Linked DNA regions of Rattus norvegicus. The protein of the gene in region 6 purifies or fractionates together with the protein of the main gene of each other region. This does not show direct contact. Links are inferred from orthologs where the notes say so. Each region holds a gene or a part of one and is shown on either strand. Other genes may lie near its edges. The genes, in order: Cops7a, Trpc4ap, Det1, Ezh2, Hdac2, Cul4b and Cops5.

What was found.
Region 1: the proteins of Cul4b (region 6) and Cops7a purify together in Homo sapiens (affinity purification with mass spectrometry; 6 studies listed by BioGRID and IntAct, with this or other methods). This does not show direct contact. The link is inferred for Rattus norvegicus from reciprocal best matches to the Homo sapiens genes CUL4B and COPS7A.
Region 2: the proteins of Cul4b (region 6) and Trpc4ap purify together in Homo sapiens (affinity purification with mass spectrometry; 4 studies listed by BioGRID and IntAct, counting the BioPlex papers as one, with this or other methods). This does not show direct contact. The link is inferred for Rattus norvegicus from reciprocal best matches to the Homo sapiens genes CUL4B and TRPC4AP.
Region 3: the proteins of Cul4b (region 6) and Det1 purify together in Homo sapiens (affinity purification with mass spectrometry; 3 studies listed by BioGRID and IntAct, counting the BioPlex papers as one, with this or other methods). This does not show direct contact. The link is inferred for Rattus norvegicus from reciprocal best matches to the Homo sapiens genes CUL4B and DET1.
Region 4: the proteins of Cul4b (region 6) and Ezh2 purify together in Homo sapiens (affinity purification with mass spectrometry; 4 studies listed by BioGRID and IntAct, with this or other methods). This does not show direct contact. The link is inferred for Rattus norvegicus from reciprocal best matches to the Homo sapiens genes CUL4B and EZH2.
Region 5: the proteins of Cul4b (region 6) and Hdac2 purify together in Homo sapiens (affinity purification with western blotting; 3 studies listed by BioGRID, with this or other methods). This does not show direct contact. The link is inferred for Rattus norvegicus from reciprocal best matches to the Homo sapiens genes CUL4B and HDAC2.
Region 7: the proteins of Cul4b (region 6) and Cops5 purify together in Homo sapiens (affinity purification with mass spectrometry; 12 studies listed by BioGRID and IntAct, counting the BioPlex papers as one, with this or other methods). This does not show direct contact. The link is inferred for Rattus norvegicus from reciprocal best matches to the Homo sapiens genes CUL4B and COPS5.

The regions. Positions count from the first base shown.
Region 1 is NC_086022.1:159,457,374-159,461,585, reverse strand, and holds the start of Cops7a (COP9 signalosome complex subunit 7a), read left to right. Parts: upstream 1-1,412; 5' UTR 1,413-1,534; intron 1,535-1,555; exon of another isoform or gene 1,556-1,654; coding exon of another isoform or gene 1,655-1,668; intron 1,669-1,884; coding exon of another isoform or gene 1,885-1,927; coding exon 1,928-2,089; intron 2,090-2,443; exon of another isoform or gene 2,444-2,549; intron 2,550-4,212.
Region 2 is NC_086021.1:164,650,324-164,654,413, reverse strand, and holds the start of Trpc4ap (short transient receptor potential channel 4-associated protein), read left to right. Parts: upstream 1-1,290; 5' UTR 1,291-1,329; coding exon 1,330-1,497; intron 1,498-4,090. UniProt on the Homo sapiens protein: Substrate-recognition component of a DCX (DDB1-CUL4-X-box) E3 ubiquitin-protein ligase complex required for cell cycle control.
Region 3 is NC_086019.1:142,168,834-142,172,333, reverse strand, and holds part of Det1 (DET1 homolog), read left to right. Parts: coding exon 1-1,034; intron 1,035-3,500. UniProt on the Homo sapiens protein: Component of the E3 ubiquitin ligase DCX DET1-COP1 complex, which is required for ubiquitination and subsequent degradation of target proteins. The complex is involved in JUN ubiquitination and degradation.
Region 4 is NC_086022.1:77,642,184-77,645,683, reverse strand, and holds part of Ezh2 (histone-lysine N-methyltransferase EZH2), read left to right. Parts: intron 1-523; coding exon 524-664; intron 665-2,417; coding exon 2,418-2,520; intron 2,521-3,020; coding exon 3,021-3,184; coding exon of another isoform or gene 3,185-3,199; intron 3,200-3,500. UniProt on the Homo sapiens protein: Polycomb group (PcG) protein. Catalytic subunit of the PRC2/EED-EZH2 complex, which methylates 'Lys-9' (H3K9me) and 'Lys-27' (H3K27me) of histone H3, leading to transcriptional repression of the affected target gene.
Region 5 is NC_086038.1:42,113,127-42,116,626, reverse strand, and holds part of Hdac2 (histone deacetylase 2), read right to left. Parts: intron 2,874-3,500; coding exon 2,799-2,873; intron 1,799-2,798; coding exon 1,660-1,798; intron 1-1,659. UniProt on the Homo sapiens protein: Histone deacetylase that catalyzes the deacetylation of lysine residues on the N-terminal part of the core histones (H2A, H2B, H3 and H4).
Region 6 is NC_086039.1:122,161,300-122,164,799, forward strand, and holds part of Cul4b (cullin-4B), read right to left. Parts: intron 2,798-3,500; coding exon 2,690-2,797; intron 1,703-2,689; coding exon 1,589-1,702; intron 780-1,588; coding exon 674-779; intron 1-673.
Region 7 is NC_086023.1:13,973,957-13,978,137, forward strand, and holds the start of Cops5 (COP9 signalosome complex subunit 5), read left to right. Parts: upstream 1-1,381; 5' UTR 1,382-1,489; coding exon 1,490-1,632; intron 1,633-4,181. Other genes in the region: Cspp1 (centrosome and spindle pole-associated protein 1), read right to left, coding at 961-1,166. UniProt on the Homo sapiens protein: Probable protease subunit of the COP9 signalosome complex (CSN), a complex involved in various cellular and developmental processes.

The DNA.
Region 1 (4,212 bases), on a different chromosome or scaffold from region 6:
GTCTTGAACTTTCAATTCCCCTGCCTTAGTCTACTGAGTAATGGGATTACAGATTATGAAACAGTAAGTCTGGCTTTACCTTAATTTGCCCCTTAAATGGTTTCTGTAAGTATTTTTGTTTTGTTTCATTTTGAGACATGGTCTCACTAAGTAGTTCTGGCTATACCATAATTCCCTATGCATAAGATGCTGGATGATTTAACTCAGAAATCCACCCAATTAAAGGTGTGTACCACCATGCAATTTAAAGTATTCTAAGACAGGGTCTCTCACACTGTAGCACAGGCTACCCTCCCAACTAATAGCAATCCTCCTGCCTCAGTCTCCTGGCTGTTGGGATTACAAATAACCAGCTGAATCCTTTAACTTTTAAATTTCCTCACCTGCCTAGGTTCTACTTACACTTTTCTCCTGTTGAGATTCAAGTATTAAAACCAGAACGATTAGGTGTAGTAATCCTTCTGGTTTTAATCGGCCAAAAGTCTGGTCACGTGGTCTGAAATTCCAACGGAAGAAAACCTCAAAAGCCTGACCAATACACTTCCCTTTCCCCTTAATCATTTGGGGGTTTGTTTTGTTTTTTCCAGACCGGTTCTCAAGTAGCCCAGACTGGCTTGGTATTTGCTATGTATTTTTTGCTTCGTTTTTTTTTTTTTTTTTTTTTTTGATTCTTTTTTTTCCGGAGCTGGGAACTGAACCCAGGCCCTTGCGCTTCCTAGGCAAGCGCTCTACCACTGAGCTAAATCCCCAACCCCCTGGGGCTGGTTTTGAACTCCCGATCCTACCTCTATTTCCAAAACACAGGGAAGCGGTGTGGGTCACCACTCCCTGCCCCCTTGCATTTTAAACTTTTATTCTGCTCTTTAAAAAACATGAGTGGTTGAACTACCTAAATTATCTACCGTTGAATTCTAGCCACGTTTGTCTACTTTTTATTCTGCTCTTTGAAAAACATGAGTGGTTGAACTACCTAAATTATCTACCGTTGAAACTCTAGCCATGTTTGTCTCCTATTTTTAGTTTCTGCATCTTCTCGTCTTCCACTAACGCTCATGCGGCCGGAGGAACTTGGCGCTGCCCTCCTCCCCTCTCCTGCAGCTACCGGGCGGTTCATCTACCCAGGACCTCCACGGAGCCAGGATTTTCTCTACACCCGGCATCCACCGCTCCCGCACCAATAAAGCTTTATCGACAGAGCGGAAGCTAGGTGTCGCTCTCTCACCTCCTTCGGTCGGGAAACGGAAGCAGGCCATAGCCGGCCGGAACCCGCCTCTCGAGAGCGGAAGTGCGGCCGGAAACTGGCCATAGAAGCGCGTGGCTAGAGCGACCCTGCGGGGAGGTGGCAGGAAAGGCTGGGAGCCGCTGCCGGAGGTGACGGAGCGGCCGCCCCGCCCCGCGCGCTGGAAGACGAGGCTTCCAGGTAGCGGTCGGTCGCAGTCTGTCCCAGGGTACGACCCGGCCTTGGGCACAGATTCGCGGACCCGGGGCTGCCTCTTTAAGGGAGGGGGTGGAGCCACGAGTGAGGATCGAAAAGGTGAGGTCACGTGGTTGAGGACACGTGCAAGACACGAGTTTAGAGCTGGGAGTTCGTCGTCGTTGGGGTAGACACCATGTGCCACCTCTTCCCTCCCTTCCTCATCTGTCCTGGAACTCAATGGGATGCACGTGGTGGGGCTTGGGACTGCCCCGATGGAGGAGAGGGTGGGCGTGGCAGCCAGGATGTGGCCGACTTTAAGGAACCCTAGAGTTGGCTTTTAGACTTCTTGACCTAATTGCACACTGCAGAAGTGACGTGGTACCTCTTGAGTGCAGTTCCCCACCCTTGAGCTGACCACCCTCACGTGGTTCAGGGACCTTTAGTTTTACGTTCCTCTTTCCTTGCAGCTCCAGAAAACTTGAGGCCAGAGCCCCGCACCAGGGTGCAGCCATGAGTGCGGAGGTGAAGGTGACAGGGCAGAACCAGGAGCAATTTCTGCTCCTTGCCAAGTCGGCTAAGGGGGCAGCACTGGCCACACTCATCCACCAGGTGCTGGAGGCCCCTGGTGTCTACGTGTTTGGGGAACTGCTGGATATGCCTAATGTTAGAGAGGTGTGTTGCTTGCCTGGGTAATTCAAAAAGAACCTCGGGACCAAAGTTTCCTTGAGAATGGTGGGCTCATTTTGTAACCAATAGCCACTCAGGTGAACAGGGTATTGATAATTAGATGTCAGCTTGGAAAAGTAAGCAGTCAAAAAAAGGTCTTCATTTCCTGTATCTCTTACAGAAAAGGGGTCTGTAAACTTACTGCTCCCTTCCTCTGTACCCACAATTTCAGTCAGGGTTTCACTGCGTAGTCCTGGCTGCACTAAACTGGTAATCGTCATCTGGGCTGGCCTTGAATGCTTGAGAATCTTCTTGACTATGCCTCATGCAGAAGTTAAAAAAAAAATTTTTTTTTTATTTAAAAATGTGGAACGCTTTATAAATTTGAGGTCATCTTTGCCCAGGGACCATGCTAATCTTCTCTGGATCGTTCTAGTTTTAGTATATGTGCTGCTGAAGGAAACACAGATTTTAAATTTTTAAACAAAAGAACATGTCATACACAATACCACTCATAAATGCCAGCTCGTCCACCAGTATGATATCTTTACTGTTGTTATTGATGTTGTTGTTTTTCGAGACAGGGTTTCTCTGTGTACTATAACTTGTGTTCTGGAACTCTCTGTGTGTTCAACTCAGAGATCCACCTCCGGAGTGCTGGGATTGAAGATTTGTGCCTATTGATACCTCTTAATAATCCTGTCACCATCATTTGGGAGGTAGAAACAGGTGGATCTCTGAGTTAGAGGCCAGCTTGGTCTACAGACTTGAGTTCCAGGACAGCCCCTGTTACACAGAGAAACCGTGTCTTAAAAACAAAACAACAAATCTTGTCACCTGGATCAGAAAAACCTAATTAAGTCTCAGTTTTCCCTTAAAAAATGGTGATGAGAACCTTGAAACAGCTGATAGAGTGGTTGCCTAGCATTTGTGAGGCCTTGGCTTCCATTTCAGAACTTGGGATGCTAAGGTAGGGCACCACAAATTTTAGACCAGCCTCTGCAACTTAGACCCCATCTCAAAAAAGGAGTAGGGATGTACTCAGTGAAAGAGCCCTTGTTTGTCGTATGCATGGCTCAGTATAGGTACAGTTCTCACAACTCCAATGAGGGAAAAACCGAAAAAAACACTACCTGGGCTGGAGAGATGGCTCAGCGGTTAAGAGCACTGACTGCTCTTCCAGAGGTCCTGAGTTCAATTTCCATCAACCACAAGGTGGCTCACAACCATCTGTAATGGGGTCTGATGCCCTCTTCTGGTGTGTCTGAAGACAGCTACAGTGTATACATATACATAAAGTAAATGATAATAAGAAAAAAAGCACTTCCCTTCACAGTTACAGTAGTAACTGTGGGAAAGTCTGGAGTCTCCTAAAATCAGAGAGAATGGGCATTTGAGTTATGCCATGGTAAATCCCACCCCCACCCCTACCCCACCCCCAGGTAGATGGTGAAGATGCTGTCTTCCCTAAGACAGTGGCAAACTGCTATGAACACAGTGACGAGAACATTCAGGGAAATGGCTGAGTCAAGAACGTTAAAAGTGGGGTTGGGAATTTAGCTCAGTGGTAGAGCGCTTGCCTAGGAAGCGCAAGGCCCTGGGTTCGGTCCCCAGCTCCGGAAAAAAAAAAAAAAAGAAAAAAAAAAAGAAAAAAAGAACGTTAAAAGTATAGAGCAGATGGATGGCCAATCCTGGGACACCAGCCTGTCATGAGAGTGACAGTAGTGTGTGGCTAGACTGAGCCAGGCATTAGAAGACCCGTGGTGGAATCAGAGGATAGAATGTTTTTTGGGACTGCTGTTTCACAAGAAACTGGCTTTTGTCCCTGATTTTCTCTACAGTGAACTAAAGTATGTCCTTAAGATGAGGTAGAAGGAGCATTTCCAGCTTGTGTTCCAGTGAAAGAGATCGGATAAATGGATAAAACAATACAAGTCAGCAATTTATCAGTAACTTACTTCGAAGGCCACAGCTCTGGGTCCTTGGAGGCTAGCAGATGCTGGGTCTATAGCCTTGTTAAAACATTGTTGGGGCTGGGGATTTAGCTCAGTGGTAGAGCGCTTACCTAGGAAGCGCAAGGCCCTGGGTTCGGTCCCCAGCTCCGAAAAAAAGAACCAAAAAAAAAAAAA
Region 2 (4,090 bases), on a different chromosome or scaffold from region 6:
GGGTTCAGGGGACCCAACAACTTAGGTCTCCGACAGTCTTGGCAGCCGGTGCCTCTACGCACTGACTTAGCTCTCCAGATCCTATTTTATTTGCTTTAAACTAGGCAACCTGGCAGTGATCTGCTGGAGGTGGGAGGGAGCCACACCTTGTAAGTGAGCATGAAGATGACAACCGCAGTCTAGTTGGCCTTGGCAGTGCTCATAAACTGTTGTTCCGCTGCAATTACTACATCATTCCACTCTTTAAAGACTTCTGGTTTGGGCAACAAATTGTATCCACCTTAGTTACAAGTAGCAAACTTCAAGGCATCCTAATTTGACACACTCAACTCTTCTCATTCTGTTACAAGATTACCTCCTAGAAGAGAAAGTGGAGAGAGAGAGAGAGAGAGAGAGAGAGAGAGAGAGAGAGAGAGAGAGAGTCTGCACAACCCTGCTACAGAGGTTTGTCCAAGCATGTGAATTCAGTTCTACTTGTGGGGAAAATTAGGGCAATGTTCTACTTCATAGGGGATCAGTTTGCCAATCCTGTCTCCTTGCGTTATTCCATTGAACATCATGGCTGTCATTGAACGACATAGACAATTGCTTTTATTTGTGTGGATTTGCTGTGGTCCCCTGAAATCCTCATTCCCTAACAGGGTCCTCTGCGTTTCTACTTGTCACCTCACCCTCCACCTCACCTGTCTATTCAGTGTGAGGAGTACAGCTGGTGCCTTTAGAAACTATTGACATCTGTAAATGAAAAATTTTTTTTGCCATTTTCTTCGAATAAGCCATAGCACATTGATGGTCCTTTATGTATCATTTACATAAAACATATTTGTTAATTCTAATAAAATATTAGTTGACTGATCCGGCTCCCAGGGCCTAAATATTGAATGGACTAAGGGCTAGGGGTAAAGTGCAGTGACTTGGCTAAAGTCAGTTGTAAACGGAAGAGGACATCTGTCAAGTGTCAACTCTGGCCTAGGGCCTAGAATCCTTCCCTGGCCACTGGGCTGCATCATTTCCCACTAGACGAAAAATTTGAGACCTTGTGCACGCAGCGACTGACCGGTCATCCACTTGGAGCAACCTCGTAGAAATGCTGGAAGTGGGACGTGGGAGAAAAATAAGTGGGTGGTCCAGGAAGAGCAGCATCTCCGCTACCTGCCCACCCTCCGCAAAGACTACAATTCCCATAAGGCCTTGGGGCACGTACAGCCCTTGCCACGCGGCTTGCACCTCCGCGTCAGTCCACTGGGGGCGATATAGAGTCCTCCGCCGCCCCGTAGAAATCGACGCGGCTTCGGGACCGCTTGCTTCCTGTTTGTCGGACGAGGAGACATGGCGGCAGCGCCCGCAGCGGCTGGAGCTGGGGCCAGCCGGGGGAGGCGGTCGGCCGCTACCGCGGCGGCGTGGGGCGGCTGGGGAGGTCGGCCGCGACCGGGTAACATCCTGCTGCAGCTGCGGCAGGGCCAGCTCACCGGCCGAGGCCTGGTCCGAGCGGTGCAGGTACGAGGCCGGCCCGGAGGGGCGGGGCGGGGCGGGCCAGGCTGGAGCTGGCCAGGGGCCGGGGAAGAGGCCTTTCCAGGCCGCTGCGGGACCGGCCAGATCCCCCTTGGCTGGCCGCGGCGCTGTCCTGTGTGCCGTCCGGACGCTGTCAGCCACGGTGGGACGAGGGGCAGCGGCCAGCTCGGAGGCCTGCGGGTCTGGGCCGAGTGGGATCGGACTGCCTGGGGTATTGATGGCGCGTATAATAAGCCCTGGGCCGAGTTTCTAGATCCTCATTTCCCTGCGCCACGTCTGCGTGTCTGGAGGACCTTGGCGAGTTGGCTTCATCTTCTACTGGTCTCGTGTTTGCCCCTTGTAAGCAGGTCGGGGTCCTCTTCACTGCAGCACCCCCGCCCCCCCAAACGGTTCCCAAGCCTATCATAAATGTCATCTTCTCAGAGGCCTCAACGTTCCTCCTCCTTTTCTAAAGTAGGCCCCCGTTGTTATTCTATCAGATCACCCAATTCCTTTTCTGTTGCACTATTTTCTTAGCCTGTAATTGCATATTTCTTTGTTGTCTGCCCTTTTCACGCCTTTCTCCCACATTAGGCTGAACTCCAACGGGTGCAGAAGACTGTTTTACTAACGTAGGGATACATGCTTTGGGGGAAGAACTTTAGTTCAAAGCCCTGTTCTCTTTCTTGCTTCGACAAGTTACCTTTTCAGGGCCGTAGTTTCCTTCTCTGATTCACCCTTTAAGGTTATTGTTAAATTCAGAGGAGATAGTCGTGTCAAGTGTTAGGGTATTTCAGGTGCATGTAAGGGCTGAAGGGTCATCAGTTATTGCTATATTTAATGCCTAGCTCATCTTTACACCAATTGATGTCCTATACATGTGGTGTTGGGGTGTATGTATGTCTGTTGAGGGGTATAGGACACAACCTTAGAATAAAGCAGGATAGATGACTTCTTTCACTTTTTCTTCGTTCTCCCAGGTGGACCCAGAAAACATTAGCTTAATTTCAAGATAGCTTTGTATATCGTTTTGAGGGATATATAAAGGACCAAACAGTATTGATGGGAGAGGGACAGGAATTAGGTGAGCAGATGAGGGAATAGGTATGAGATTTTTCTTAACATACCACTACATATTTAAAGTTAATTTCGATCCGTTTGACTATTACCCAATGAACTGAAGAGATAAAGGTGAGATGGTCTGTATTTGTGTAGGGTCACAGATGAAGAGGCACTTTGGGGTAGCCATATTTTTCTATAGAAACTGTAGATGAGCAGTCTTTTCTTCATTGTATTCCTCTGCATCTGCCTTAGAAGATGTGAGAAATACTTACTCTGTCCTTGAAGCCAAAATACCTCACTGAGTCGAGTAGTATGTCAGGACAGGCAGAAAGGGGACTCACTATCCTTTAAAGATTAGTCAGTGTGCAGGGTGTTGGCTTTTTTTGAAATTGAGTTTACTTTTGAGACAGGCTCTCACTATGTAGGTATATGACTGGCCTTGATTAGATGAGGCTGGCCTTGAACTTGTGACAGTCGTTCTGCCTCTGCCCTCTTAGTGCAGGGATTACAGGTATTCTACCACACCCAGCAATCTTCAATAGTCTGAGCTATATGTTGAATCCATCTCTTAACACAGACGAGGAAACCGAGGCTTACCAAGGTTAGGCAGTGATTCCTAACTTCCCTGCAGATGATCACTAAGAGCTGTGAGCCATGGAAGTTCTTTAACATGCTGAGTGAGGCAACTTTGGAGAACGATTTGCCTCCAGTGCTGGAATGCTAGGGAACTGGATTAGAAGGTTACTAAAATATTCTTGGAGCCTTTGGCTGTTCATCGTGGCCCCCATTATTACTCTGTAAATCCCTAAAGTTTGCTTACCTTCTTAGTCTGTGATTGCATATTTCTTTGGTAGTTTTGTAAAGGTGTGAGAGCTATTTCAGAGATTGGATTAGAACTCCTGTCTCCCAAATTCTAGTGATAACGAAGTGGAGACCTTCACATCTCATGGTTGTCTTTCTCAGCAGAGTTCTTCAGTGTTTTTTTTTTTATTCTCTCTCTCTCCCGATACGCAGAATAAATTATTTGCTCACCCATATTTTCATAGCACAGTACGCATATTGGTTATGGCATATGGCAGACAGGAAAGTGCCAAGTTTTTAAAAAACTTTGGAGGGGGCGGTGGAGTTGGGAAGAAAACAAATTTATTAGGTGCACTGTGAGGGGCAGCAGGCTGGGCAGTAACAAGAGCACCACCTACCTAAGGACATCTTTTAAATAAAAAATACATATAACAGCTGATCATCACAACTGTTTGAAACTATAGGATCAGTAGTGTTTACTAGTCTCATACTGATGCATACCAGGTCTCTAGAACTTTCTCAGTTTATAAACCTGAAACCGTATCTATCCACTGAGCAACTCTTCAGGCCCCTCCCCAGATACCCACCCTTCTCCTTTGTCTTGCTGTAAGTACGACTAATGCCCTGAAGGTTTATCTGAGTAATACCATATGGTAGACTTTCCTTGGGAAAGACTGGATTTTGCAGTAAAATGGGCCTGAATTGAATCCTAGTTCCAGCCTTTTTAGCCAGTGCC
Region 3 (3,500 bases), on a different chromosome or scaffold from region 6:
ACGTCATCCACCGCTTAGAGCGCCGGCGCATCAGTTCAGGCAGGGCAGGGACCCACTGGCATCAGGTCCGAGTCTTCCACCAGAATGTCTTCCCCAACTTCACGGTTGTCAACGTTGAAAAGCCTCCTTGTTTCTTGCGTAAATTCTCGCCTGACGGGCGCTACTTTATTGCTTTTTCGTCTGACCAGACATCTCTTGAAATCTACGAGTACCAGGGCTGTCAGGCAGCAGAGGACCTCTTGCAGGGATATGAAGGGGAGATCTTGTCCAATGGTAATGACCAGAGGTCGGTCAGCATCCGAGGCCGGCTCTTTGAACGTTTTTTTGTCCTGCTGCACATTACCAATGTAGCGGCCAATGGCGAGCACTTGAACCGGGAGTGTAGCCTCTTCACGGACGACTGCCGCTGTGTCATCGTGGGCTCCGCTGCCTACCTTCCAGACGAACCTCACCCTCCTTTCTATGAGGTCTATCGGAACAGTGAGTCGGTGACCCCTAACCCACGGTCCCCTCTCGAAGACTATTCCCTCCACATCATCGACCTTCACACTGGCCGTTTGTGTGACACACGCACATTCAAGTGTGACAAGGTGGTCCTGTCACACAATCAAGGGCTGTACCTATACAAGAACATCCTGGCCATATTGTCTGTGCAGCAGCAGACCATTCATGTCTTCCAGGTGACTCCTGAAGGCACGTTTATTGACGTTCGGACCATTGGCCGCTTCTGCTACGAGGATGACCTGCTCACTGTGTCTGCCGTTTTCCCCGAGGTGCAGCGGGACAGCCAGACAGGCATGGCCAACCCTTTCAGGGACCCTTTCATCAACTCCTTGAAGCACCGGTTGCTGGTTTACCTCTGGCGCAGGGCAGAGCAAGACGGTAGCGCCATGGCGAAGAGACGTTTCTTCCAGTACTTTGACCAGCTGCGGCAGCTGCGCATGTGGAAGATGCAGCTTCTGGATGAGAACCACCTGTTCATCAAGTACACCAGCGAGGACGTAGTGACGCTGCGGGTCACAGACCCATCTCAGGTACGGGATGAGGTCTCCTGCCTGTGCCCCGTGTGTATCAGAAATGGTGCCGGTTTTTGCTATGCTTGGGTTCAGATTTAAAGTCAGTTCCTTTTTGTCTGGCATCACATATTGAAATTGGCCAATGGAGGAGGGTCAGCGTCAAGCCACTGCCATGTGGTTATGATCTCAGTCATTCCTCAGGACATTCTCAGTACCTGTCATACAGGAGCCCAAATGCTGTAAGGCCGGGGTTTGGACCACACATTTATAATCCTTCCTAAACTTTGTAAGACTGATTATTGAACCAAAAAGGTTCTGGCAGCAAGAATGAGCCCTCCATGCAAAAATGGAAGTCCTCAGGGACGGGTGGTAGAGAGCTTATTCAGGATATGAGGCTCAGAGTCCCTGGCACTGAGGACTCTAGGTATGATGGTAGGCATACTTCCATAATGCCGACAATCCCAGCAGTGGGACTGGAGGCAAAGAGAGCTTGGATTTGAGGGCAGTGAGTTCCAGACCTGACTGTGTTATGAGACCTTGACTTAAAAAGTTAAAGGAGGATAAGTGGTGACAAGAGGGACAGACAGACAGACCCGAGCTGAGTTCAGATACCTTCTGGGAATCTTTGAAAGCTCTGCACTAAGTGTGGTCTGAGTAAGAGGCCCACCTTTCTGTACCTTGCTTGCCCCCAGTCAATCCTCCTGCTTTAGAAACAGCAGTGAGGCAGATAGTAATCTAGGAAGTCAGCTGACTCTGCCTTTAAGGGATTCTAGACAGTGTTGGGGGTTGACCGAGTGGTTTAGGCATCTTTCTTGCAAGCATGAGGGGAGTTTGGATTCCCAGAACCATTGTAAATGCCAGATGGGTGTGGTGGCCTTCTGTAATTCCAGAGTGCAGGAGAAGGAGACAATCCCAAGAGTGAGCTGACTCACCAGCAAGCCGTGGCTTCAGGGGAAAGACACTTACCTTAGTGACTTAATGACTGCGACAGACAGTGCTGGAAGACCATGTGCCAGCCAGGTTTGGCACATAAAGTACACACACAACATACACATACACACATGTACCACATATGCATAAGAAACATACATTACCAAACCTGTGGTAAAATATCTTCCAACAGCAACCCCCCCAAAAATAATCACAGCTTATGTATTCTAAAAAGGGGAAAGTGATCAGACTCGAGTATATATTTTTTTTTCTTTTTTTTTTTTTCGGAGCTGGGGACCGAACCCAAGGCCTTGCGCTTGCTAGGCAAGCGCTCTACCACTGAGCTAAATCCCCAACCCCTTTCAAGGAGTTTTTTTTTTTTTTTTTTTTTTCTTTTTTTCTCGAGTATATTTTTAAAAATCTCTTTCTTCCTTGTTAATGATGGGTGGTGTTGCTGAGCCACCACAGGTGAACATCTAGTTCATCTTCTGCGTCATGGAAGATAGGTGGTAGAGGCCTTGACTTCTCTCCCCTCCTGTCCTTAATTTCCCAGTCTGCCGTAGAGGGAAAGCTGGTAAATGTTTGTGAAATTTTATATTCGCATAATTATGAAAGATCCTGTTAAAACCCTGATATGATCAAAGTGGTGTCCTGGTCTATAGATGGGACATGAGTCACTCTTTTATTTAGGTTTCAGCTATAATTACCTTTCTATTTTGGAAGGAATAAGTTGTCTGTTATCACAGTGCTGAGATTATCCTTTTTTTTTCTTTTGCTAAAAGGTGACCTATTTTTTCCTGGTAGTTGCAGTCAGCTATAACTGGGCATGCTGCTGGAGTTGGAAACTCGAAACCAGTCTCCACGCTCCAGTTGTCCTCTTGTCTCCCCTTCCAGTTTCATTTGATAAGTTCCAATAAGGTTAATGAGTAAGAACTACATCCATAGACAAAGCCTCGGTAATATTATGGGTATTGTTCTCAGGTTGTCTCCAGCCACTTTAATTTGCAGCCAAATTTAATTTCCAGGTGACTGCAAAGTCATGTAAGAGGAGCTCTGGGGAGGACTAATTACTACGAGACAGGTGGGCCAAATGGCTGCAGAGATGGGTAACAGATTAAAACTCAATCAAAGGAAGGTGAAATGCGAATCCGTGAGTCCCGGACATCTTAGACTCCTGCTGGAAGCTTGCAGATTTAGTTCACACTGTAGTGTTCACTGTGACAAAAAAACCCTCAAGGTACCTAGAGCTTCCTTCCTGTTAGGCAAGGCAGAGCACTCAAGGTGTCAAGGAAAAGGCCCAGTCGCCCAGGGGTCCCTCCATTCAGGAAAAATGGTGACTGCCACCTATGGCATTTGAATGCTTTTCAGGTCCCTGCCCCCCCATCCTAATTGGCAGAAATCTCAAATGTACCTTACAAAAGCTCTTGGCTGAAAGAACATTTATGGAAAGGAAATGGGAATGTCTGTCTGACTTTTCATTTGTTCATCCGCAGTGCCCTGCGTGGATACAACTTGTCCAGGCGGTTTAGCACACAATGTGCTTAAGGCGTCTCT
Region 4 (3,500 bases), on a different chromosome or scaffold from region 6:
CCTCCCTGTTCAACAATGCCCTTCCTCAGGGCAGCCAGAGCCTGTGAAATTAAGTTATCAGAATCTTGGATTCAGGTTTCTGTGTACAGGAGGCTCTTTTGATATCTGAGCAAAGGGAGCTGTGGTCATATTATAGTGGAAAACAGGTTTGAAGTGGTCAGTCAGTGACACAGATTGGGAGGAGGTTAAAGCCACAGGTCCTCAATGATTAAGGGAGTAATGTGCCCTGGACCAGCTGGAGAGGGGTGATTTCTGAGAAAGCAACGGATACTGAAGGAAAATGCTGTTTTCTTTGCTGGCTGTGAAATTGATTTTGACTGTCCTTACCTGCCCCTCCGGTTACAGTGCTGATAGGCCTTCGCTATTCTTCCAGATTAGAAAATGCATACAAAAAAAAAAAAAAAAAAAAAAAAAAAGAAAGAAAGAAAGAAAGAGAAAGAAAGAGAGAAAGAAAAGAAAAAGAAAATGCATACAAAGACTTTTGTCATTATCCTTTTCCCTGTTTCTGACATTTGGATTTTAGAATGTGGATTTATAAATGATGAAATTTTTGTGGAGTTGGTAAATGCTCTTGGTCAATATAATGATGATGACGATGATGATGATGGAGACGATCCTGATGAAAGAGAAGAAAAACAGAAAGATCTAGACGATAGTCGAGATGGTATGTTTAATACTAGTTTTTTGTTTGAGCCTTATATAATTCTTCTTTTAAAATAAAAGTACCAGGCTGGTAAGATCAGGTCGGTAAAGGTGCTTGGTGAATCGAGATTCCTGGAACCCACTCTGTGGAAGAGAAGAACTGACTCTCCTAAGTTGCCCCTGATCTTCACACCAGTACACTGTGGCAGACATACAACCATATGATATATGTAAATAAATGTAAAAACCACCCATTTTGGGGTAGAATGTAACTCTCCCCTTTTTGTTAAGTGTTCTATCTTAGCAGTATGATCAAATGTATTCTCTGCAGCATTTCATTCTCTATAGAGCTTCTTCGTTTCCTGTGCCTAGCAAAAGGACATGTGTTTTTGGACTTTGCTGATCAGTTATCATAATTATCTTTATAATAATAATAATGATTTATGGCATATTAACAGCTTTATTATATATTAGAAATGGCTTTAGAGAAGCTGAAGACTATGGGACTTAGTTAAGATTGCAATATTGGGAAAAAGTTGAATCTGAGCCCCAAATTGATAACATAAGTCTGACTCGAGAATTGTGCTATTGCCTCTACACTTGTTAAGTGTTCCTAGAAAACAGTCTACCCCAAAGTAGAGCCCATAATTCTGTCTTCTACTTAGCAAGCTTACTATCAAGCAGAATTAGGAGAAAATTGCAATTTCAAAAGACATGTATTCTTTATAACAGAAACACACCGGAGTCAGTAAGTGATTGCTAAGTTCTTCCATGTGATGGACAGTTCTGAAGGTGGATTAATGATCAGCTCTGACAGAAAACTATTAGTGTCAAATAATCAAAATTTGGGGGAATCTGTCTTCTTGTACTCTTAGCATCTTGACAAGCTTTTCCATAAGAAATAACTGATAGAGGGTTTGGTGATGCCTGTAATCTCAGCACCTGTAATCTGAGCGAAGGCAGGAGAGTCTGAAGTTCAAGGTTATCCCTGGCTTTGTAATGAGTTTTATGCTATCTTGGGCTAAACTAGGCAAACCTGTCTTACAAAATAGGACAAAACCCCCAAGCCAGTGATAGTGAGTCATCCTTGTCATTCTCGAACTTGGGAGTCAGAGACAATAGAATAGAAAAGTTGGCTATCGAGGTGAATCAGTGGGTAAGAGTGCTTGCTGAGCAAGTCTTTTTCTTTCTTTAAGAATTATTTATTTATTTTATGTATGTGAGTACACTGTAGCAGTCTTCAAACACATCAAAAGAGGGCATCAGTTCCCATTACAGATGGTTGTGAGCCACCATGTGGTTGCTGGGAGTTGAACTCGGGACCTCTAGAAAAGCAGTCAGTGCTTTTAATCTCTGAGCCATCTCTCCAGCCCCCAAGCAAGTCTTGATGACCTGATTTGAATTTCTTAATTTCACCATAGGAGAGCACTGACCCACAAAAGTTCTTCCCTGACCCTCACATGTGCACAATGGTGTGCACACCCATGTGTCTTCACTCAGGGAGGTGCACATAAGCATACATACATGCACACCTTAAAAAATAATAAAGTAATTATTAAAGCTTCGAAGTCAACCTGGTCTACTTAGTTGCAGGCCAACTAAGGAAGGCTACACAGTAAGAGATCTTGTCTTACTCCCTCCTCTCCAACCTCCACAAAAGTGAACCAAAGTTGACAAGTTGTTAGAACATCAGCTTTGTTGAGACACAGTGATAGAGAGAAAATGAAGCTGAAACTTGTTTCTTCCATCTCCCCCTATCACAATTCACTGTTTAGATAAAGAAACTTGCCCACCTCGGAAATTTCCTGCTGATAAAATATTTGAAGCCATTTCCTCAATGTTTCCAGATAAGGGCACAGCAGAAGAACTGAAAGAAAAGTGAGTAGGAATTTTTCTTTTTTTTTAATTTGGGGCAGTTGTGCATGTTATCATCTCTTGATTTATTATTTCAAGCATTCTCTCTCTCTGTCTCTCACACACATACACACACACACACACATACTTTACTGTGTATTAGAAAATTTTTAGTTCATATTGAGTACATATATGAGTATTCATGCATATTCTATGCCTATGTACAGTTTATACTAATATATTGAGGAAACCTTTTCTGGACGCTGGTAGAGATTTATAGTTAATCCAAACTAATGTAATAACCTCTTCTGCTACATACCTCAGTTGTATTAATGAGCTTGATTCTTATTTCCCATGCATAATACACGATTGGTTCTTAATGCAAGTAAAGATTACTGTAGGTTAGATTTTTTTTGTGGTTGACTTTTAGATAATATAAACTTAAAAAAAAAATCAAACCCATGAAAACCTTTTAGAAACTCACTGTGCAAAAAAGTGATGTTTGTTTGTTTGTCTGGTGTCAGGTATAAAGAACTCACGGAGCAGCAGCTCCCCGGTGCTCTACCTCCTGAATGTACCCCAAACATCGATGGACCAAATGCCAAATCTGTTCAGAGGGAGCAAAGTTTACATTCATTTCATACGCTCTTTTGTCGACGATGTTTTAAGTATGACTGCTTCCTACATCGTAAGTGCAATTATTGTACGTTTTCATTTTCTATCTTTGTTGTTGAAATATGTAGTAAAGCAACTTGATGTCAGTTGTCACAACCAAAATATACCGACCAGTCTTATAGTGAAGGCTGAGAAATATGTCACACCCCGTACTGTGACTGTTTTCTTCTTTGAGGATTCCTCTGACATCTTTTGTACTCATTTCATTCCATTCACTGCTTCCCAGTAACTTGAAGTGAAGGTCTTCACACTTGACAAGGCTGTTTTATAATGAATGATTGTAGTGAGGCAGTTCTCAGCTCAGAGCAATATTACTGCCATTTATGAAC
Region 5 (3,500 bases), on a different chromosome or scaffold from region 6:
TCCCCAGGTGTGTTGTCACCCCCACTCCAAGGTGTATGCTACCCCCACTGCCCAAGTGTGTGCCACCCCTACTCCCCAATTTCCGATGATTCAAGAATAAAATCAAACTAAGACTATTTTATAATATGACAGGTCTGTGACAGTCAAATTTCCATATCCATAAACACCTTTTACAGCTGGATGAGCACATTTACCTATTTGCACATCATCTATAGTATCCTTTGCCCTATACTTAAGACCTTATGACTGTGACAGATCACAAGTGGCCTCATCATTCCCTAATGATCTGTACGCCACCAATCACAGCAACAACCCAAATGAACTTCTGGAATCACGCCACCATAGGATGACATGACATTAGTTCCATACCTATGTCAAAGTGCCAACAGAAAAAAAAACTATGCATTAAAAACCAAAGCCACTGGTGTTAGAAAGCTGGCCTTAAGTTAAGAGCACTGATACTCTCCTAGAGAATCCAGGTTAAATTCCCAGCACCCACATGGTGACTCACAACCGTCCCATCACACCAGCGCCTGGGGATCTCGTGGTCTCCTCTGGCCTCCATGGGCACAGCACAAATGTGGTGCATTGACACACATGCTGGGAAAACAGCAACACATATAAAATTTGAATTTACTGTTTAAGGTGTCACTGCAGCTGACTTAAAATGTTTTATTTATTATCAAAAGATGCCGTGGCTGTGCTCATACAGTGTAAGCTGGCATTATCAACCCAGGCATTTATGCTCTCAAGGCACAGAAAAGCAACACCAAGAAAACTAAAAAACTGCAAAAAGTGGGCTTTATCATAGCAGAATCTCTTCATAAAGTTAAAAATCAAATATGATCAAAGTGGCCAATGTGTTTGGATGAGCAAAGAAAGCTATTTAACAAACCCAATTTAATTATGTTCAATTTTACCAGGTAAAGAAACATACAGAATTAAGCTTGCTCAGGACTAAGCTTAAAAAAAAAAAAAAAAAAAAAAAAAAAAAAAAAAAAAAAAAAAAAAAGGCAACAAATTGCTCAGAGTTACGCCAGTGGAATAAGTGAATAATGGTGACTTCAGGGATCTGTTGGTTGTTGGTTTGGGTGTTTGTTTATGGTCACTAAGGTCACTGCTGGAATGTACAAGTGGAGCAAGAGCGTCATTGTCAAAGCCTACAGAACACAAAACGCAGCCAAAGCTATAAACTACAACTCACTCCTATGACAGCGCCCAGGGGCAGTAATCTCACTCTGAGTGTCCACACTCCTAAGGGTAACTTCCAACACCCCTTCAGCAACTGGGCATCACTGTGTCCATGTATTCACGTGTATCTGTGTCTGTATAGCGGACGGAGCCATACTGGATGAGGGATCTGGGGTCAGCCAGGGTACTAAATGGCTAGACAAACTTCTATAACACAGGTTTCAAAGTTTTGTCTTCAAGTTACTTTAGCGTTCACATTTCTGGAGTCCTAGCAGCCATCTTTATTAGCTCACACTACTGCAAGCCTAAATCCACGGAGGCCATTTAGGGGAACTCTCAGGCGCTCTCTCATACTTCTGCGGTGGCTCCCAACGGGCCCTGTGAGACTCCACTAATGCATTAACATTTATTTCCTATTCTCTAAAGGTCTGATGACAGTTTTGGGAAACTGAGTTTGCATTAGCGTACTTCAGTAGCTCGAGGACAGCAAGCACAATGTCATTAACGTAGCAGAATCCTGAGGCCTCTGACTTCTTGGCGTGGTGCAGTCCTCCCGCCCAGTTGACAGCCATGTCAGTCTGTTGACGGTTCAGCTTCACGGCCCCAGCTAAGAAAGAGATACACGTTACGGTATCTACAGCGTATTTAAAGTTTACCTGTAAGCGAAGCCTCATTAAATATGCCATCTGAAGCAGAAAAGGTTTGACATTCAAAAGCAAAGGATTATAATTTAGGAGCTTAAACTTTCCTCAGATAACTATTTTCCTACAGTTTACCCAACTAAATTGCAGTACACATAGAAAATCGTGGTTAAAAATGGCAGAAGAAAAAAAGAAGGAAAAAAGTCTCTGGAGGAAAAAAAAACACAACTTAAAAACTGTTTGAGTATTGACTGTTAAACATTTGACATTTTAAAGATGATTATACTTGCTACTTTGAACCTGAAATGCCTAAGAACCCCACGGAACAAGTCACCCGTGTGCCATCAGAGAGTGATGGACTAAGGGCTGAGGCCGGACTTTAGTTCACTGGAGGTCTGATCTTGCTTAGAAGAGATTCTGGAATGCTCTTTTCTCTACTCAACAGCCATGGGGTACCCCCAGCCCCATGCACATACCATAATGTGCTATCACGGTCCCAAAGGACAGGGCCATTTAAGCCCCCAAACCAAAATAAACCACTCTTTTAAAAGTTGTCTCAGGTTTTGCTACATTAACAGAAGAGTGAATCGCAGTATCATAACCATCTATGCCTCTAATCTCAATCAGTGAGGCTAAGGAAGAGGACTTCCACAGTACCAAGGCCAGCCTGGACTCCACAGTAAGCTGCAAGCCAGCCTGGGCTCCTGGGTGACACTGTTTCAAACACAGAACAAAGCGAAACAACAAACTCATCCCCACTAAGGTGCAGTGACAGCACATGTCCGTAAGCAAGCACTGGGGAGGTGGCCAGAGGATGGGGAGTCTGAGGCCACCTGGGTGACAGCCTAGTGACAGCAGAATCAAGCAAGCAAAGCTCACTACCATTACGACCTGCTGCTTTAGACAGAAACTACAGACACCGTAACCCTTCAGATCCTCGTCAAGTCACTGACTCGGGATACTCACCAACTGAGCCACCGGTGGAGAGCTGACAAAACTCAAAGAGTCCATCGAACACTGGACAGTCTTCTCCGACATTAACTGTGGAAGGTGAAGTCCATTAAGGCCAACCTATTATCAAGCCATTGAAGGCTTTTTCTTATAAACTATTAAAAATAGTCATTTCAGGCAATTATAGGCAGTAATATAATATTCCATGACAGTAATATAAAATTTGTAATTTTAAAACATTACCTATGAATTTTAAAATTCACAGGGAGTAATACCAAAAAACTAATTTTACAAAATAATGTTTACTTTATTCAAGATAATTAAATTGTTATCTATGTAATACCATTACCTAATCTTACGTGAATATTTGTGAATTAACTGTACCCAACCACCACCACCACTAACAAAAGTCCATATTAAAGTAAAAATCGACATGAATCTGGTTTTCTTCTTACGCGACAGTGAATTAGTTAAACACTGAAGATGAAGAGGCTGCAACTCCTTTCTAACTCACTCACAGCCCCTCCCAGACTCTGAAGTGCATTTTAGTATCAAAACATTAACAGTTACTTTGTTTTTTTCTGTGGCTGAAACTAACTTTAGAAGAGGCTATGAATTAATCAGTTTCATGGAACAAAGATACAAAGGAAGGGCGCATAAGACGGATGACCCGTCACTCGTCATGGCGCGGTTGACTTCCTGTGGTAAGAGGCATGG
Region 6 (3,500 bases):
TCATATTCCAGGTGGCTAGTTCTATCAATGCCAAGTAAGTTGTCCAAATAGGTTATTTCTTTTATGTCAGTCAATCGATCTTACCTATTGAATTTTACAGCTCACCAGTGAAAGCTACAACCAAACATTTCATGCTTGCTACCCACACTAGCCCCTCCCATTTTCAAGTCTTTCCTCATACTATTTCCTTTATTTCATATGCCTTCTCTCCAATCAAAATTTTAAGGCCCAAATCAAGTCCTACTTCCTTCCACAATCATTATTCGCTTCACTTCACTCTCAACCACACTTCTTGTTAACACTACATACTGGTACTTACTAATTTGGAAATATTAAGAGCACAGAGGAGGGGGCTGGAGAGACATCTCACCACTGAAGAGTAGTGTCTTGTCTTTCACAGGACCAGAGGTCATTCCTAGAACCTAACAAGATGACTCACAAACAACTAACTCAAGTTCCAGGGGATACAATGCCCCCTTCTTTACCCCACATATTCCTGCACATTGTATGGTATACATATATACACAGGCAACAAACAAAAGAAATAAATGAATCTTTTTAAAAAATGTACAGAGGGGAAGATTATTTCCTTATATGTTTAGAGCTCTAATCACAGTGACTACACAGAATAGAGAACTACAATTTCTTGATACTGGACAGACACAATACAAACCTATTCCAGTGGCTTGCTTTATCTCCTCTAAACTGAACTCCTCTCCTTCATTAAACATTAGTAGCACCAGGGTTTGAAAAAGAGAGACCTGAAGTTCTTTTTTGCCCTGTTGGAGAAAAAGCAGAGGTTTTTTTTTTTTTTTTGCCTGTTTTTTTAAACATGAAAAATTAATCAAAAAGTAGTATCTTATAGGAAAACCATTAATTAGTGAGTTAAGCACAGACGAGTAACATTCTCCAAAGTGCTGCTTTACATGGCAATACGATGTGTACTGCAAGATTTAGGTGTGAGTCTACAGAAAACGGGGTGTAGGGTTAGTTAGCCTATTAGTATGTCTTCTATAGTCCTTATTAAAACAGGACAAAGTAATGAAAATAAGTCAGCCCTATGTGTCATTATAGACATTCACCATAAGCAGCAAGAAATTACTACCCTAAATGCATTTTTCAAGACAGGGTTTAGAAACCCAAGCTAGACTTCCTTTGTAGACAAATATGTACTTGAACTCCAATCTTCCTGCCTCTATCTCCCAAGTGGTAGGATTACAGTCCCATGTTACTATGCTCCACTTTCAAATATACTTTGACTTGATTCAGATCATTCATGAACAGATGCAGATTTTTCCCAATGGATATTGTTTACCTATATCACTCACTCGGTTCTCTAGCTTCTAGCCACATGATTTCTGATAAGACAGTATGAACTCTGAATCCACAGGGAAAAGAGAAAGGGGGGGTCAATTTTAGATGAGGGCTAAGTCAACTGCTGAAAAGGTAACCATCTTAAATACAAAGTTGCAATATGCTAAGCAGAGTCAAGGATACACTTATAAAACAGCAGCTTGACCCTGCAAACCAAGGGATAAGCCATATTAAAGATGAAGACAGAACTCAAGATTTAAAAATATCCACTTACCTCTTTAAATTCAGCTTTTAGCACACAGTGTCCCAAGGTTGATTGCCATTGAAGTTTCCTGCCACTGTGCTTGCCTAAGTAAAATGTCTTGAAAATTTCCTGAAGCTTCACCATCTAAAGCAAATGAATTGTTACTTTATGTTGCATATGCAATGCCACCCTTAGCACGGTTTTTTAAAAACTATTTGTTGAATGTATGAAGTGGTGTGTGCATGCCATTCTGGGCTAATAAAGGTCAGAGGACAATTTTTGGGAGTCAGTTACCTCTTTCCACTATGTGGGTTCAGGAAGTTAACTAGGAGGTTAAGCTTGGTGGCAGGTCCTTCACCCCTAGGCCACCTCAATGACCTCCCTTCTCAATACTTTAACATCATCTGGAATAGCTTTTGATAGTTTTCAGGACTATATTCAGTAGTTACCAATCCCTTTAATGTACGGTGAAAATCTAACTAGCCAATGCAACATCGCTTGGTGATCTTCACACTCATTGATCTTTTCTGCCCTGTTATTTAATCATCCCTTCACTCTGGTGATTTGGGTTTCTACACTATACTGACTCCTTTCTCTTACTGCTGCTTCTGCCCACATTTCTTTACAGGTTCCTCTTTTTACCATCTGCTAAATGTGAGCCTTTTCTAAAGTTGAAGCTTTGCCCTTTCTCTTCCTCTTCACCATATTCTTCCCTTATTGAGGGAAATCTACTTTCTGGGCACCCATGATTCTTTCCATAGACGCTTAGTACTTTTCTTTATTCAATATTCTAGGTTTTGGTCCTGAGTAGGACAGTTCCCAAGGCATGAAGGGATACTCATGTATCCATTACATCCACCAATCCTGCCTTCAGGTGGAATATATGGGCAAGATTTTTTAACAGCTGGCAAGACTAAGGGGTCATAAGCAATGAAACAGAATAATTGGGGAAAACAGCACTAAATTTAGAAATGTAGTTAAAAAATGAAGTAAAGAATAAAATATTAGCGCTCATACTTTGTTGCTATATTTGTTGACATAAACCTTTAAAAGTCACAGATTTTCAAATGAAAAGCAGAAAAAAATGTAATTTCTATGCATATAGCTTAGTTTTAAAATGGTTTATCTTACCTCTGGTGGCAAATGGACTTCCATAGGCACATATGTTGGCCAATAACCCATTGTCAGGATATTAACAGTTAATTCAATATTGCCAGGTACATTCTGGTTCTGCATATACTGTAAGATCAACACATACACCAAGATTATGAAAGTTTATATACCATACATAATACAAATTTCCTTTATATAAAAATATATGTAGATACTGACCATCCTGAAAATAAAAACAATTATTTAAACTTGAAATGAATACTACACAAAATGCAGTAGAAAAATACACAGGTGGCCATTTTGATAGTGGCATTCAAAAACCCCACGAAAATATCCTAGGTATTAAAAACTCAACTTCTCACACACAATTGGGCTGTTATAGCATCTCGTCTCCATTCTTTTCCCCCAATGCTACCTTTAATCCCCACCTTCAGAGACCCTACATGGATCGGAACATCTTGTAGCAACTCCCATTCCTCACCCCACTAGCCAGCCCAAGTCTCTGGTTTTTCAAAATGCTTCACTCCCTGTTTGAAGGTGGTGACCTGAAGTAGGAAAGGAAAAGGGGAAAGGGCAAGGCAAATAAATCCTATTCTGTGCCTACTGTAAGATCTATGATCCTACTAAGTCTGAACGTCGAGTCTTTTGGTTCTATTTACCACCTTCAATATAGTAGTCAAGAAGTCATTACTGAACCCTTGAGTAAAATCTAATTTGCCATCACTATTGCCTAGTTGGTATTGCTGCTGCTGTTTGAGACAGGATCTCACTATATTGCCCAAATATTATTTCAGCATCCTAAGCAGTTGAGGCCGCAGTTACACAAACT
Region 7 (4,181 bases), on a different chromosome or scaffold from region 6:
AAACCAACAGTAGTGGTGAATAGTTAGCAATTCTTTTTTAGCTAATTTGTCTGCTAAAAACCTGCATTAGAAGAGGATACAGCCCGGCAAGGGTGGTACATGCCTTTAATCCCAGCACTCAAGAGGCAGAAGCAGGCAGATCTCTCGAGGCCAGCCTGGTCTACATATCGAGTTCCTGAACAGCAAAAGACCTTCCATGGCCGGGGGAGAGGGGGTGAGAAAAAAAAAAAAAAAAAGGATACAACACAAAGCTTACTGGGAAAAAGCAAAACGTCCGTGTGAAGCAACTATAGAGCCTTCGAGATCCTGTGGAAGGAGCAGTTATTGTCAAAGAGTTAATGGAAGGCATCTCGACTGTGCTTTTTAAATACTGTGTGCTCTAAAGCAGAAATGTCAAGAAGTGCATTTAAAGCAATGCTTAACAACTACTGCATTACTAAATCAAGGAAAAAGTTCTAATTAAAAAGCTGGGTCAGGGTGGCTAAAAGATGATGAAGCTGGAGAAGTCTGTAAGAACCGTGTTACGAAAATAATTAAATATATTAGAATTAAATAAAACAAACAGATTTTATGCACGCCTTCAACTTACACTCTAGTGGGCATTTGGGGATGAGAATGAGAGGGAAGAAAACCTAAAAACACGACTGAAACAAATTTCATATTAACTACCGGAAAGAACGGATTGCGGAGATTAATTCTGCACTGAGACAAACCTTTTTTAACAAGTAGCGGGTAAGGCATTCACATCTCCTAACACTTGTATAAATGTTACCCTATAAACGCGTCAAAAGTTAATCTTAGCAACCGGTGAGTTTTGCTTGCCACCTCGCAACAGTAGCGAAAACACAAAAGCGAAACGCCACCCACAAACCCCGGAGGGGTTTATACTCCGCGAATTATCTTAAAAGACAATGTCACATAATCTTCCCCCTCCAAAACCAATAATCCGGAGATACTTACACCTCTGTTTCTCTAGAGACATTTAGTATTCCAAACAATTTATTTCGTTTGAAGCACCTACACTCACATAAACATAGTTCCCCAAACCGAAGTTCCCTCCCACACGCAATATGGCGGAATCTGAGTCTGCGCAGTGCGAGGCGAGACGGCCGACTCCTTCCTGGCAGGTCAACAGGCCCGCCTTCCGGCGCGAAAGGCCGTACCATTCCCACACAGAGACTTTGCGTCCCTCCCAGTTCACACGTACGGATTTCAGAGCCAGCATGTCCTCGTTTCGTTCGCAAAACTATTATTAGCCGAGCCGAGCGGACCCCTAGGAAGTGTTTTCTATGTCGCTACGCCGCCGCCGCGCCCCGACGCGCGAATGGTCTGGACCAACGTCACCTCCGGTCTCAAGTGTCATGGCTGCCTTGAGAGTCTAGTGAGTGTGCACCCGTGGTGGGGAAGGTGCAAAGCCCGCACGCTGAGGCCCAGTAGAATAAAGTTGCATCTTGGTTGTGGAGACTACAGCTTCTCCGGTCCCTCGGCCATGACAGCTTCCGGGAGTGGTATGGCCCAGAAGACCTGGGAATTGGCCAACAACATGCAGGAAGCGCAGAGTATCGATGAAATCTACAAATATGACAAAAAACAACAACAAGAAATCCTGGCGGCGAAACCCTGGACTAAGGAGTGAGGAGGTCCCTGGCGAGACGCAGGGGAGGGAAGGGATGGAGGGACTGTGAGAGAGACCCTCGAGGGGTGGAAAATGAAGTGGGTGGAGAATTTGGCTTTCTGAGGGGCGTCGACAGAATACTGGCCGCCGTGGTTTTATTCTACCTTATCAGTAGAGACTTCGATTCCCCTTATTTCTAGGGCCTGCTTCGATACCCCTTTTAGAAAGTTTCTTACCTCCAGGGGGTGTAAAGGGATGACTTAGGGTGCTACTTTCTCAAAATGATTATTTTCGTAAATTTCACACATTCTCCCCTGAACCTGGTGGCTGGCTACATGCAGTTGGTTGCAGCCTTCAGTGGATCTCAAACTGAAGAGCGTGACTGTTTTCAGAAATCGAATGAGCAGGGCATTGATCTAAAAAACAAAAATGAGCCCTTGGGGTGATTTCTTTTTTATCACTCTTTTCCTCTGTAACTTTTTTAAAGACATACCAAATCCTCTTACCAGTTCTCTAAAATACTACTGCAACAATTCAGGATTTATAAAATAGAGCTTAGAGGCTATTTGCCCCCCAGCCAAATCCATGTATCTTTGGGGCCCACGACAAGTCAAAAGATTCTTTAGAGCAAATCATGTTAAGGAGAGTGAAGAAAAACATTGCAAAAGGTTGCTATGTAAACTGCCTTGCTGTTTCCAGGTGTTTTGTTTTGTTGGCAAAGCTGGTTTTAGCTGTCAGGATTCTATTTTCAGGGTTTTTTGAGTTACTACTGTGGGCCTGGCACTGGTCTGATGATTTTTATGTCATTTAATAATCAGGGCAATCCAGTACTGTACTTTCTTTCCCTTTCTGTAAATAGGAAAATAAGCAAATACATTCATGATTATACTATAGCAGTGAACTTAGGTGCAGTAGACTGAGAATCAAGTCTCATAACTGTCACTTAAACGGTTGACTGGCATTAGAAAAGTAAAGTATCTAAACTTATCTATAAGATAATGGTTAAACATAGCTATTACGAATATCATGAATTTATTAAAAAGATAATTTATTAAAAAGTTCTGGAAGAACCATATATAATAAGAGCATAGTAGTGGTTTGTTTTTCTCTTTTTCCCAAGTAGGTGGAGGAGCCAATTTTTAAATTTATGTCTTGATTTCCAAGATGATCTCAGCCACTTTCAGCTTGTGGTTGAAATCTAGCAAAAGCTGGGATCTGTACTTGGTTGCTTGCATCCAACAAGCCGTGGTGACACTGAGTGACCTGTGCAGATTTCTTGGCTGTCCCTTAAGCAAGCTGCACGTTTTAGATGGATGTAAACTCTTGACTTCCTCACCATCTGTGGCTATACTTAAGTTTATTCTAACATGCAGGATACAGCCGTGATTTTAAAATGTTCAAGAGTTTAATCATGTACAATAGTTAGTCACAGAAGTAAGGATACTAGCTCTACTCTAATTCCCAAGATGCTATCAGAAGGAAGCCATAAGCTAACAAGCTGTTTCTTTGAGAATATCTTAAAAAGCGGGTTAATAGTTCGATCCCCAGCTCCGAAAAAAAGAACCAAAAAAAAAAAAAAAAGCGGGTTAATAAGACTGGTAGCAGTACCTTAGATTTTAGTGTTTCTGGGACTAAGCTAAGCATTTACGGTGTACTTTTCATACTAATAGATGAAATATCTATTTATAGATATGTGATCTGGCATAGACATTAAGTGGCCCTACTCTCTCAGTTAGGGGGTGTCAGTGTAATTTAGAGACCTAAGCAAGTCAGTTTCAGAAGCCACATTTGTAGAAACTAAGTCCTCTGGCTCAGTGGGTAAGAGTACTTAGTTTTGCATGCAGACCTAAGGTTTAAATCCAGCATCTATGTAAAAATCCATGTGTGAATATGCTACCTTTTAGCATTATATGGAAAGAAAGCAGAGAGGACGGTCTGTGAGCTAGTCAGCCAGCCTAGCCACAACAGTAAGCTTTCAGTAAGAGACTCTGTCTCGAGGGAATGAAGTAATAACAGACGAAAATGAGCTGGGCATGTTGACACCTGAATTTAATCACAGCAGAGGTGGGTGATCAAGTTCCAAGGACAGCCTGGTCTACTGAACAGCCAGGGTTATACCAAAAACCTGGTCTCAACGAAACCAAAAAAAAAAGGTAGTGAAAGACCCCTGACAGCCTCTGTCATCTCCACAGGTGGCACACTAATAAACATGTACCACAGATAATAAATAAATAAATTATTTAATTAATAACTCAGTAAATTAAGGTCAGAAAGTTAGGCCTAAGAAGGTAACCAGGTATAATAATTCCATGTTGATTGAGGAAAAAGACCTGTGGAGTTGATCATTATTCCCTCATTTCAATAGTATATTTAAAATTTATTTCAGACTCTTTATGTCTGAGCCAAAGACACATGACATGGTATTTCCAGGCACCTTGTACTTACTGCTTTCTTTTTCCTCCACGTTCCACACTCCCTTTCAATCCCTATAAATCCCTTCAGAATGTATTTATTCTCACAGAAACTGTTCTGAAATTGCACGTTAAGTAAGGCTCTCGGTCACAGT